2 linked regions of the Arabidopsis thaliana genome follow. The protein of the gene in region 2 interacts with the protein of the main gene of each other region in a pairwise test. Each region holds a gene or a part of one and is shown on either strand. Other genes may lie near its edges.

Evidence for each region.
Region 1: the proteins of AT5G14520 (region 2) and AT5G15550 interact in a two-hybrid assay, tested with the Arabidopsis thaliana proteins (one study listed by BioGRID).

What each region holds. Positions count from the first base shown.
Region 1 is NC_003076.8:5,058,191-5,063,833, forward strand, and holds AT5G15550 (Transducin/WD40 repeat-like superfamily protein), read right to left. Parts: upstream 3,955-5,643; 5' UTR 3,814-3,954; coding exon 3,657-3,813; intron 3,415-3,656; coding exon 3,314-3,414; intron 3,200-3,313; coding exon 3,093-3,199; intron 2,758-3,092; coding exon 2,722-2,757; intron 2,608-2,721; coding exon 2,522-2,607; intron 2,389-2,521; coding exon 2,330-2,388; intron 2,251-2,329; coding exon 2,140-2,250; intron 2,032-2,139; coding exon 1,906-2,031; intron 1,775-1,905; coding exon 1,631-1,774; intron 1,498-1,630; coding exon 1,389-1,497; intron 1,298-1,388; coding exon 1,161-1,297; coding exon of another isoform or gene 1,125-1,160; exon of another isoform or gene 1,077-1,124; coding exon 1,041-1,076; intron 954-1,040; coding exon 861-953; 3' UTR 858-860; exon of another isoform or gene 744-857; 3' UTR 509-743; downstream 1-508. UniProt on the Arabidopsis thaliana protein: Required for maturation of ribosomal RNAs and formation of the large ribosomal subunit.
Region 2 is NC_003076.8:4,680,035-4,686,412, forward strand, and holds AT5G14520 (pescadillo-like protein), read right to left. Parts: upstream 4,439-6,378; 5' UTR 4,297-4,438; coding exon 4,273-4,296; intron 4,118-4,272; coding exon 4,032-4,117; intron 3,797-4,031; coding exon 3,548-3,796; intron 3,449-3,547; coding exon 3,323-3,448; intron 3,219-3,322; coding exon 3,134-3,218; intron 3,046-3,133; coding exon 2,935-3,045; intron 2,841-2,934; coding exon 2,747-2,840; intron 2,612-2,746; coding exon 2,346-2,611; intron 1,892-2,345; coding exon 1,784-1,891; intron 1,704-1,783; coding exon 1,582-1,703; intron 1,485-1,581; coding exon 1,265-1,484; intron 1,174-1,264; coding exon 976-1,173; intron 839-975; coding exon 755-838; 3' UTR 506-754; downstream 1-505. Other genes in the region: AT5G14530 (Transducin/WD40 repeat-like superfamily protein), read right to left, coding at 4,748-4,906, 5,046-5,095, 5,184-5,265, 5,348-5,485, 5,573-5,689, 5,937-6,036, 6,118-6,184, 6,273-6,378. UniProt on the Arabidopsis thaliana protein: Required for maturation of ribosomal RNAs and formation of the large ribosomal subunit. Plays an essential role in cell growth and survival through its regulation of ribosome biogenesis and mitotic progression.

The sequences.
Region 1 (5,643 bases), 380 kb from region 2:
TAAAAGCTCTTTTGAAAGAACCTCTATTAGCTCATTCAATATTGGGACCGATGAGATTGATCCAAACCGAGTCGAGATCGAGTTCATCGGTCCCAATATTCAAAACGCTTAGGAAGATATATCCTTATTTCTTGATGGTTTTTGTTTACAACGTTGAACATGTTGGTGATGTAGCTTAAGGTGGAAGGTTCGAAGAGAGGTGGTTGGTTTCAGATGCATTGGCATTGGGGACAGGATTGGGATACTAATTTGAAGCTAACCGGAGAGAGTTTGTCCTATAATGTCACTACAAGTGATAGGAAATGTTTGGGCTTTCATGATGTTGCTCCACCTAATTGGCAGTTCAAACTTCAAACAACCTTACGATGGCAAGATTAACTTTTGATTGGGAATTATTTAATATAGTCCTTTTTTGCCAATGTATTCGATAATTTTCAGCACATGGTTTGGAATTGTATTATTGGGGAACGAAGATAGTAGAGTTTTGTAGTTGATGCTATTTTATTTTTCGGCCAAAGAAAAGCAAACTAATTTAGTATTTAGCACGGCAGACAACATAAGTAAATAGCTCTTGATTTTAAATGGTCGTTATCAGACAATAAAAACAAAATTTGCTTCCCACCAAAAGTATAATTAAGATTTAACATTTCGGAATATGAAGAGTATACAACCTTGAAGACAATAAGCTCTATTCAGCAGAACTTACAACAGTCTCATTCCAGGATCATGAATCGTTTGTGTTTCTGAGTAAGAAAAGAATCGAATTTTCTCAGACATCGTACGGAACTGAGTAAATGTTTCATTGCTCCACATTTCATGTAAGAAAAGAAATGGTCAAAAGATTTCGGATTTCATACCTTTTAAGAAATTGCGATTCCGGAAGAAATTCGCAAGTTAGAGTCTGCTCCTCCGCTGACTACACTCTCTCCTTTCCACCAGTCAGCAGATAAAACCTTTAAAACCAAGTTGTTTTATACCATTTCAGTAACAAGAAGAACTAAAAGAGTAGAAGCTGGAAGATAACATTGTGTTTACTTTACCTTGTCATTGTGTGTATCAATTACTGACAAAGGCCACTGCAAAAGGAGGAAGAAGATTAGTTTTTAAAGATAGAAAACCGTGGGTTATAACGGAAAGGAGTGTGTGTGCTTTGTCATTACAGCGGTTCTGAGATCCCAGAGCATGATTTTGCCGTCGTAGGAAGCGGAGAGCAAGTGAAACCAAGAGCTTTTGTGCCACTTACAGGCGGAAATCCATGATGAGTGTGAAGAGAACTGAAACACGGGAGCGGATGTTCCTACAGAGTAAATGAAGACAGTTTATCAACTGTGTAATAAAAAACCGGTCTGGTTATATTGACTTGGTGTGTGTTCATATGGATCTATCACCTGGCTTACGAGGATCCCATACTCTAAGGATTGGATCTGAGCCACCAGCAGCTATAAGGGCAGAACTTTCACCACCAACATCTACCGTGTTGAGAGCTTTTCCACAGAACTACAATTTCACAGAAACAAACCGGCTTTAAGTTTCCGGCGAAAACAACTTCAAAAGCACTGATTTTTCGGCAACAACATGTCTGGTGTGTGCCCTAATATTTACGAAAGAAAAGGAGAGAGAGAAGGCATACCAAGTTCAAAGAATCTTTCCCTGTCTCAACATCCCATCTCCTAACGGAATGGTCCCACGAAGAGGAATAAATTACATCATGCTCTGGCCAAACAACTGATGATACACACTGTGTGTGTCCAACCAAAGAAGTCACTGCCTCTCCCTGTAAGAAGTTCAATATCGTAATTGATATCAGACACTTGGAACTCAGAAAAACACAACTGGGAGTACATTTCTCTATTTTGATTTGAAGAGTAGATAGTACGTTTCAAAAGAATGCATATTATCCGGTACCTCTGACTGAGATTCCTCGGCCTGATTATTTCCTTTTCTTTTCTTTACTGATACTGACTCCCCTTCTGAAGTAGATTCATTTGTGTTCCATAAATTGATGGTGCAATCCCATGAACTCGAGCAAACCTAAATTCCATTATACAACAAAAAAAGGGGGTCAGCTTAGCTCGAAGAAATATAGCAACAAAATTATACTTGCAAAACACAAGTTAAGTGAAAGGAGTAACAGCAAACCATGTTTCCGGATTTCTGAGCTGAAACACTTTGAACTGACGCCTTGTGTCCACGCAATATCTTGTATGCCCTTACTTTCGTAGTAGAGTCAACAGACTCAGCTGGATCAAACTTCAGACAGGGAGAGATATCTTTACTTAGACGTAAAATAAACCTTTGGTTTTAAGTATGATATCTCATCCGTGATTACCTTAAACAATCTCAATGTCCGATCTTTAGAGGCAGTGGCTACAGTAACAGTTTCTGCATCTGGATGCACAAATCAACACAAAGAAAAACAAAGAATTGATCAATGAGCCAAAAAAGGGAAAATTTATTCTTGTTAGTATCATTTGCTAGTACAGAACAGGCATAGTATAGATTTCTCATGCGATGGTCATACCGTTGGAATTAACTAAAGCAACAGAGGAGATAGCCCCGGAGTGGCCTTCTAATATGTGTGAACACGATCCAGCCGAACTCCATACCCTGATCAGAAGAAAAACCAAGTAATCTAAGATTCTTGCAAATTTTGAAAGCAATACAAAAGGATAGAAAATAATCAAAAGCATATAAGATTAAATAAATAAGTCAAATGATCACCTTCCTAATCCGTCATAGCACCCAGTCAAAATGAACCTGCAAATAACAACAGCGAGATCAAGAGAACCACTAACACAATCATTAAAACCAAGAACAAATGACTATATTCATCCTTAGATATCATCCGGATCACTGGATGGCCTTGAATTGGAACAAATGAAGACTAATTCTAACAACATATGATATGGCAGTCGAATATATTAAACAAAGATACAGGTCTATGATTTTCCATATGGCAAGGTGGTTGTGCGTAAAAATGAATAAGAGTTTTTAATTCAAATTACTGGTGTCACAGAAGAAATAGTAAAAGACATCTAGCAGCTTAAAGGAAATTCTACATCATAAAGTAATGCAGTAGGAAAAAATATTACCTGGGAGAAGAACCATTAACCGCACTGACCCAATCATCATGCAAGGAGGGTTCTTCTTCCTTCCGTGGTGTCACAGCCCTTATGTATTCGATTTCAAGAGTACGCTCCTGTAAGAACCAATGAACTTAATTAAGTATATGTTTCCAAGATAAAGCACTATGGACTAATTCCAAGTACACTAGCTGGTGTGAATAGTGGAAGATTAAGATGAAACACATTACCGCCGATATTCCCTTTGCAAGAAGAAACTCTTCGAGTGACATCCGAATAAGCTCCCCATCAATAAGGAAATCAAACGGCTCAGTTTTCCACTCTGGATTCTCTGTTCATCCAAAAAGTCTCAGTGATGAATATTGCATAATCACAGGTAGAACAATAATATATGCTTTTATGTAAGCTCTCTAATTCATAAGTACAAACAAGTTCCTAAGCAGACCTAACAAACTCTCGTATGAGAAAGAGACCACTATTCCAAGTAACACTTAGGATTTGACAAATTTAAAGACAAAGACGAATAAATACTAGCATTCGAAACTGCAGGGAGAGATGGAGAGAAAAGGCTACCGGATTCGATAATAGAATTGACGATGGAAGAGAGGCCGAGACGAGTGACATTAGAAGGGATTGCGACGGAGTTGACCGGAACTTTGAAGGGAGAGTCAAGCTTCGTCACGAACTTAACGTGAAGTCTTCTAGATACATCTTCTCCGTCGATATCCATTTTAGCCTCTTAACTTCTCCGATGGCCTGTTACTGAGCAAAAAGAAGACGCGGAGATAAATTAGGGTTCTGCCTTGAGGCGATGAAGTGTGGAAATTTCACCCAGGCACAGGGTTTAAGGAAATTTAAAATTACGGAATTGACCTCCTTTTCCGGTTTAGATCATACCGAGGCTACTCAAACCAGAGAAATATGTGGTTCGACGAGTGAGAAGAGATCAATTTTGGGCCCAAAGCATTTGGATCTTTAAGATGGGCCGGCTCAGGCCTCTGTTTATACTTTTATATAAACCAAACCAAACCAAACCAAAGAAAATTGAAATAATCAAACTGAACCGAGTAAAATATTTTTCTTATCTTTTATATAAACACTAGATAAGGCCCGCCTATTTAGGCGGGTGTACCGAAAATTTTCAAATACTTGAACGGGTCTAAACTTCAAAACCCGAAAAACTCGAACCCGAACCCGAATAGATATCCAAACATATTTCAAATATAAGTATATATTAGTTATATTTATACTTATATATAGAAAATATTAGGATTATTTGGATATTTTAGTTATTTTTGTGTCATTTTAGATATATTCAAGCAAAACTACTCGTGTTGTTTTGGGAATTTTTGAAATTTTCAAGTAATTTAATAGATTTGCACACAAAATTTGATATTTCAATATATAAATAAACTCGAATCCGAACCCGAACCCGACCCGGAATCTTAAATTACCCGAACGGGTCCTAAACTTCTAAACCCGAAAACCCTAACCCGAAATACCCGACCTGAATACCCAAACGCCCAGGGCTAATAATTAATAGAAAAAAGAAATCCACAAAAAAATTTAGAAACCAAACATTGTTAAAAAATATATTTTCTATATATGGCGTAATCTCGTAAGTTAATTTTACATCATGCAAATTAATATTAAATGAGTTAAAGTTAATAAATGAAAATAATTGAAAAGTTAAATCCTGTAAGCTAAACTATTTTTCTCAAAATGTTTTATTTTCACTTATGATTACATGAGTTAAAGACAAATTTGTTAATTTTCTTTTTGTTGAATAAATGTCCCGAAACCTTAAATTACCCGAACGGGTCCTAAACTTCTAAACCCGAAAACCCGAACCCTAAATACCCGACCCGAAAACCCAAACGCCTAGGGCTAATAATTAATATAAAAAAAATCCACAAAAATATTTAGAAACCAAACATTGTTGAAAATATATTTTCTATATATGCCGTAATCTCGTAAGTTAATTTTACATCATGCAAATTAATATTAAATGAGTTAAAATTAATAAATAAAAATAATTGAAAAGTTAAGTCCTGTAAGCTAAGCTATTTTTCTCAAAATGTTCTATTTTCACTTATGATTACATGAGTTAAAGACAAATTTGTTAATTTTCCTTTTGTTGAATAAATGTTAATTGTTTATAAATATATAGACATATAAATTAGTATATGTAAATTTGTTTACTTTTTAAGATTTTCTATTTTTTTAGAGAATTAAAAAGTTAAATTTTGAATGACACATGTAAACATCTGATCGTTTGACTTGACACGTGGCACAATCCTATGAGTTAGCAACTTTGAAAACCATACTTTATATAATAAAATCACCAAATTTATTTTCTTGTTGATTAGTACATGTATTTAAGTTTTTAACCCATACTAATGACTTTTGTTTTTTTCCTTCTCGAGATTACTTACTTTTTGCTAAAAGTGGTGGAGTGGTCAATTTTGTTTTTTTGGTAAAAGAGTGGTGGTCAAACTTTGTTAACTACGAACTATTTTTGCTTACATAAATCCTAAATCGTTCCCGTGCACTTAACAAC
Region 2 (6,378 bases):
TATTTGGGTGTGTTTTTTATATTTTAGTCGTCTATAAATGCAAAATTTTCAATAGAAAATAACATATTTTTTTATTTTAATGTTTTACATCCTTCTCTTTTGGTTAGGACAGGAATATGATCAAGTTTCTATCCCCATTGGTCCCTAGTTCGAATATGTGTGTAAGAAAAAAGTGCTTAAATTTTCTTCGGTTACAAGTATGGAATTCAGAAATACGTACAGTATATACATTTTTAAAATTATATATTTCCAACGAAAACTATACAATATACAACTTGTTATCAAATAAACTTGCTGACTAAAATACATTGTAAACGATACCGAGTTTGTAAATTGTAAGAACGTCTCCAACTAGAAAATTCCCATTCAAGTCTATTATTGTTACCATTTTTTAGTAATTATTAGGTAGATAAGATTATTTCTTTAGGCGTACTCATGCATCAAGAAAAAAAAGAGATCAAATATTATAAAATTGAAATGTACTTTTGATATTCTATGTTGTACAGCGCCGTTGTCTTTAAGAAAATCATTGTCTTACTCTTACATTATTCATGTAACAAAGTTAAGACGTACGCAATAGATTCATAAAATTTAGTCTAAAACTTCAGTATAGTTGGACGTATAAAAATCAAAATCAAAACTTTTTAAAAAATTTGGAAGTACATGTCGCGAAAGACTAATGATGATGATACATAACTTAAGAAAAAGCCTTCTGAAGAAACAGAAATGTAAACAAAAATATAAAAACAAGTTATCATGATGATGGTTGAGTATCATTCAACCTTTTCTTGCGCTGCTCGATTATTTCAACACCTGATCTCTTCCTTGACTGCGAAATCTGCAGATACCATTTCACAATACACCAAATTAACATCAACTTACAAACACTAAGAGACCCTTTCATTGCTATGCTCTTACAGACCTATAGAAACTATATAAAAAAAAAAAAAATGGTAAATGTAAATGGGTACATACCTTCATGGCATCGTAGAGCTTCCTCTTCTTACGGGACATCAACACTTTGGGCATATCAGCGTCCTCTTGAGCTATTTGCATAGCATCCGGAACTGATTCTTCACCCTCACCTTCAGCCAACACAGGCGCTACAACATCCTTACTTCCATTTATTTCCATCTTCAGTTCCTCATGGTATTGCTTCTCCTGCGCCGCCATCTACATAAAATAACCCACAAAGTTAACAACTTAATCAACGCATACAAAAGTTTGACAGGCTTGAATTGCTTATATATCAGCAAAGTCAAACCTTCTTCTTGTTCTTTGCAGCTTCGGCTTCCTCCGCACGACTCATAACACCAGCGTACAATAAATTTTGAGGATCTTCAAGATCCTCTTTCCCAACACCTGGCAATGGAAGCACTTCGTTTCTTGCTGCTGCCTGTAGTCTTTTGATGGTTTCGGCATAATCAGGAACGTATCCTTCTGCTTCATTGTCCACAAATGGTGACAAGTGTGGCGGTGGAATTCTGCTTGTAGAAAAGCACACAATACATATACAAACAGCTGAGTAAAACAAAACATGGTAGTGAAAAAAGAAATAAGCAAAGTCTTCGAGTGTGTTACCTTCCGACCAAGTACTTTTCAGTTGGCAAGATTATGCGAGCATTCACACAGTCATAGATCCACTGTGGTTGCACATATACCCTAGAAAGGTACAAATGGCCAGCGCTTGGCTTATCGATGATCTACAGAAGTATAATGTATGTTCTTGAGACTATCTATCTAGACACAATCGTAATATTAATAATCAAGCTAAATAGCTTACATGATGTGTAATACTCTCATCATCCTCCTTGAAAGGTGCACCTTCTCCTTCCCAAGACACCATCCCACCAAAAGCAGTAATCACCAATTGCAGGGACTCTCTTGGAACCTACACAAGTATACAAAATTATTATACAATAGACAGGCCCCAGTCATGAAACAATTTAATGATCTTCTAGGTCACTGTGAGGAGACACTCAAGAACACAGATCTTCCAAATATCAAAACATGGAATGCAATTTACAATCATTGACACAACTTTGGTTAGGACTACACAGTAGTTCTAGGTTCCCTCACCACTAAGTACGTATAAGAATCATTTTTTTTTTAAATGCCGTTACTTACAAATGGTTTGTCTTTAAGTAAGAGTCTTTGAACATTATAGACATGTCAGAGATTTAGGCTATAGAAAAATTACCATTTTATTTGGTAAATTACTGAATCAGTTTAGTAGCAAATGAGTATGTTTTGTCCATAACAGTTAAAATTTGCCAATGATTTACTATTTTAGAACAAAATTCAGTGATAAGAAGTGGCTCAGAAAGAATGAATCAAAAAGATACCTCACGGCTCAAGAAAAACTTCAGATCCTTGAAGAGTGACTTGCACACTCTTGTTTCTTCATCCTCTTCAACCTCTTTATTGTTATCTGCAACCAGATGCATCAATGCTCCAGGCTCACTTGAAGGCAGCTGGTGCTGAAGCTGTGCAAGTCTAAGTTCAGACTCTTCACGGTCATTTGACTGTGAGCTAAATGAAGCATCAACTTTGGGTTCCACCGCCATGCCTCTGGAGCTGGCATCTATGTATCTAGACAGTGCATAGAGATCTGCAACATTGAAGACATAAACAAATATATATTAATCAGAGTAATAGGTGACACGTTCTAATGGTTACATATGAACTCCCATATGAAAGATATCTCTTGAGGAAAATAATTGCTTCTTGGAGGAGGACAACGTACCTGCAGCCAAAGCCTCCAACCGAGAGTCAAGGATTGGCGGGTATTTAACATTCAGAGAATGGTAAAGCTTGAAGTTAATAAAGGCAAGAAGAGTCTGCATCAAAAGGTGAATGAAAATTTGTCAGCAAAAGTCCAAACATTAAATTATTAAGGAAAAGGGGGAATGAATAGATATTAGAAGTTCTCACCTCGTAAAATTCCAAGAAGGTAAGCAGGACACCAAAGTCAACATCATTTGTAAAAACTTGTTGGATTGCATGAGGGGTCAACCAAGTGATCTTTTGACCTTCTATTTCAGCCTATCAAGATAATATTACCAAAGTTTCATTAAAGAGGAAGTAATCTACTAATCCCATTATAAGCTCTCAAGATAAAGTAAAACAATACCTGATAGTAAATACCCTTGACAGACACAAACACTTTACGTAACGCATGAGAACGTGAAATGTAAGCTTGCCATTCATGGGTCAATCTGATTCACAAAAGAAGCACAGAGTCAGATTAAAAATATGAAACTAAAAGAAGCCGTCAATAAGTCAAGACACAAGGGTCCAAGAGAAAGTATAAGATTCTGACCTTCGACAGTTGTGGACTCGCTTAACTTCAAGATTTTCCCTGTCTGATGCAGGTAACACCGCAAAAAGATGAACCATAGTGAGACAGTCATCCAAGTCTCGCAGTGCATCAATAAATGTTGGATACCTAAACATTAATAACATAAATAGAAATGAGAGTTAACAGTCTAAAACTCATGGATGTTCAAACACAACTGTATAATAAATTCAAGTGTGTCAAGCAAACCTCTCACGGATCAATCTATCAAGCTTGTAAGTAGGTTGGCGGGTGAGCAGAAGGCGTGCAAGCTCCTCGTTTTTCTTGGCCTTGGCTTTTTTGACCTTCTTTTGGTATGTTTTGATTTCCCTAAACTTCTCAAGAAGAGGCTCGTGCATGAGGAAAGCAATGTCCTTGACATGGTAGTAAGTGTGATGGTTTCCCTTAATCTTCTTCTTTGGTTCTCGGGGAAATATACCTTTGACAATACATAGTCTCCTGAAATACATAATCGGCAGGTACAATAATAACAAATTAGTCACCTACTGATAACCAGAGAATTTCTAAGTAAAAACCTAGCTAGGAACATAACACAATCTCGATATCAATTCTAAGATAAATTGACAAAACACGAAGCATCTGAAAAAAACCTAGTGCACACATATGCTTGTCCGAACAATAACTCGAAGAAAAACAGTGAAAAGTTGAAGGATAAAGAAGAAAGAGAGTGAACCTGAATAGATTCAAGTTAACTTGAAGATGTTTAAGAGCTTGCGACCTGGTCATATACCTAGCCGCATTTCCTTCCTTCTTTTTCCCCTACAAATGACAAACATAACCAAATTCATCTCAGAAACAAGAAAGAACCAGCTCCAAAGTTTTTCGAGCAAAGGGAAAGACGAAAATAGATTACAACAGTTGTTGAACAACGAATATTGGGGAGAATAGAGCTTCAATCAAAGAGAAACACTCACCGTTGGTCTGTAATGCTTCGGCATGGTGAAAACGCCACCAGAGAAGGAACGAGAGACGCGGAGAGGAAAAAGAGAGACAGAGAATTAGGGTTTTAGCCAAAACGATTTGTTAAAAGTCGGGGTACAAGAGGACGATATAATGGGCTTCTTATGACCTATTTGACTTCTTCTCAGGTTTATTATACCATGGGCTTTTAAGGCCCAATATGCTCATTGTTGTTTGTTCTTCTGGGTTTTTTATTAGGATCATGGTTCGTGAAATCTTTTCCAGTTTACGTGAACATTGATGTATGTATTCATCCATATCTTTTTTACGTAAAATAAGAGTAAATAGTCATTAAAGAAAACATATTGTAACCATCTAGACTCAAATTCATAAACTCTAAATTTGATTAACATACTACTGCTTCCAAATTTTTCTAATTGTCAACATTAAAAAACGATACACAAGTGCATAATGGAAACATATATGTCGTCACTGTTGTTGATCGGTAGGAGGATCGGCGGGGGCTGGTGATTCACCGTCGTTTGGGATCCAGAATGTGAGAACCGTAGAAGCAGCAACGAACATGGCTCTACGTGGTGCCCATTTCAGACACGACACTACTCCTATGTTGTTCTCCCACCTCGCCACCTGCTTTTTACACAAAATCCCCACTAAAATTTAAATACTGTGAAAGCATAACGCAAAAATAGTATCTACAACTTTATAAATTATTCATCACTTTTAAGTGAATCAGTGTCCTAGTGGTGTTGATTATTCTGCACTTTACCTCAGATGGGTTCTCGATGTTCCACGCATGTAAGGTTCCATCACCTGAACCTGTATCCGAAAAAGAAAACTAAGCTGATTAAATTTGAATATTGTGTAGATGAGTCATGATAAAAGATCATCTAGGAACGCGTATTACCTGACAGAACATACTTGCCATCTGGTGTGAAGGTGGCCTCTATGGGTGTACCCTGTGAAGGCTCCAAACTAAAACCACATTTCTGCAAAATAACATACCGTCTTTTACCAACTTGAAACCTAACGTTCTGTCTTCTTCAGGTGAAAGATAGAGAACGTGATTACCTTCTCTCCACGATATGCATCAAGAACGTAGATATTGTTATTTGTAGTCGTTAGGAGCATGGATTTCCCATCGTTGCTGAATTTTATATCGTTAACCTCAGCAGTATCCCCACCCACCAGAAATGTGTCAAAGGGACCCTACATAAGAGATCAATTGGGTTTAGAAGTTAGAACTAACAAGAGCAGTCATGCGTAAGGCTGTGTGAATCATTGTAAGAAGCTAACCTTGTCATAACACCTGGAATCAAATAATTTAACAGCACCTCCTTCCATTGCAATTGCAAACACAAGGCCTTGTTGGTCATACGCAACTGCAGGTCTACCACGTAGATGTAGAATTCCCTATTGACTAAAAGGGTAAGCATAGATCATGAAACCATATAAATTCACAGAGAGAGTATTAAGGTAAAGAGCCTAAATATTCTCAATGTTTCGTGGTTCCAGCATCTTCATCAAGTTTAACTTTCAAGGTGATATATCACGAGGTTTTTGCTAACAAAAAGAAAAAGGCACTTTTCTCATTAAAACTCTAGCATATTAAGACTTATTCCATCTAGCCTTCTCAGAGTGTAAAACTATAGAAACCAACCTGGCAGGCATTTACACGAAGATCCCAGAGTCTAACACTTCGGTCGAGAGAACCAGACATGAAGCTATCATTTATAGGAGACATACAAAGTGATACAACCCTGAAACAGAAGAACATTTTCCATCATCAATGTACATACTAGTAAAATCCAAATTCACAATTCCAGAGGTTATAAGCAGACCTGTCTTTATGCCCTTTAAAGTAGCGTAGGATCCGATTATCATACATTGAGAGATATCTCAAGGATTCTGGTACACAAAAACAAGTATACAAGTAAGTAATAATCCACCACCGCTTTGATTATCCAATCTCAAGCAAGAGAAAAGGAGGACTCACCACCAGTGGACTCCAAATTGTATCGAGAAGAGCAAATTAGAGAGCTAGGATGATGGGTAAAGCATACACGATCGGTGCCATGTTTCTTATGGTATGTAATCTTCAG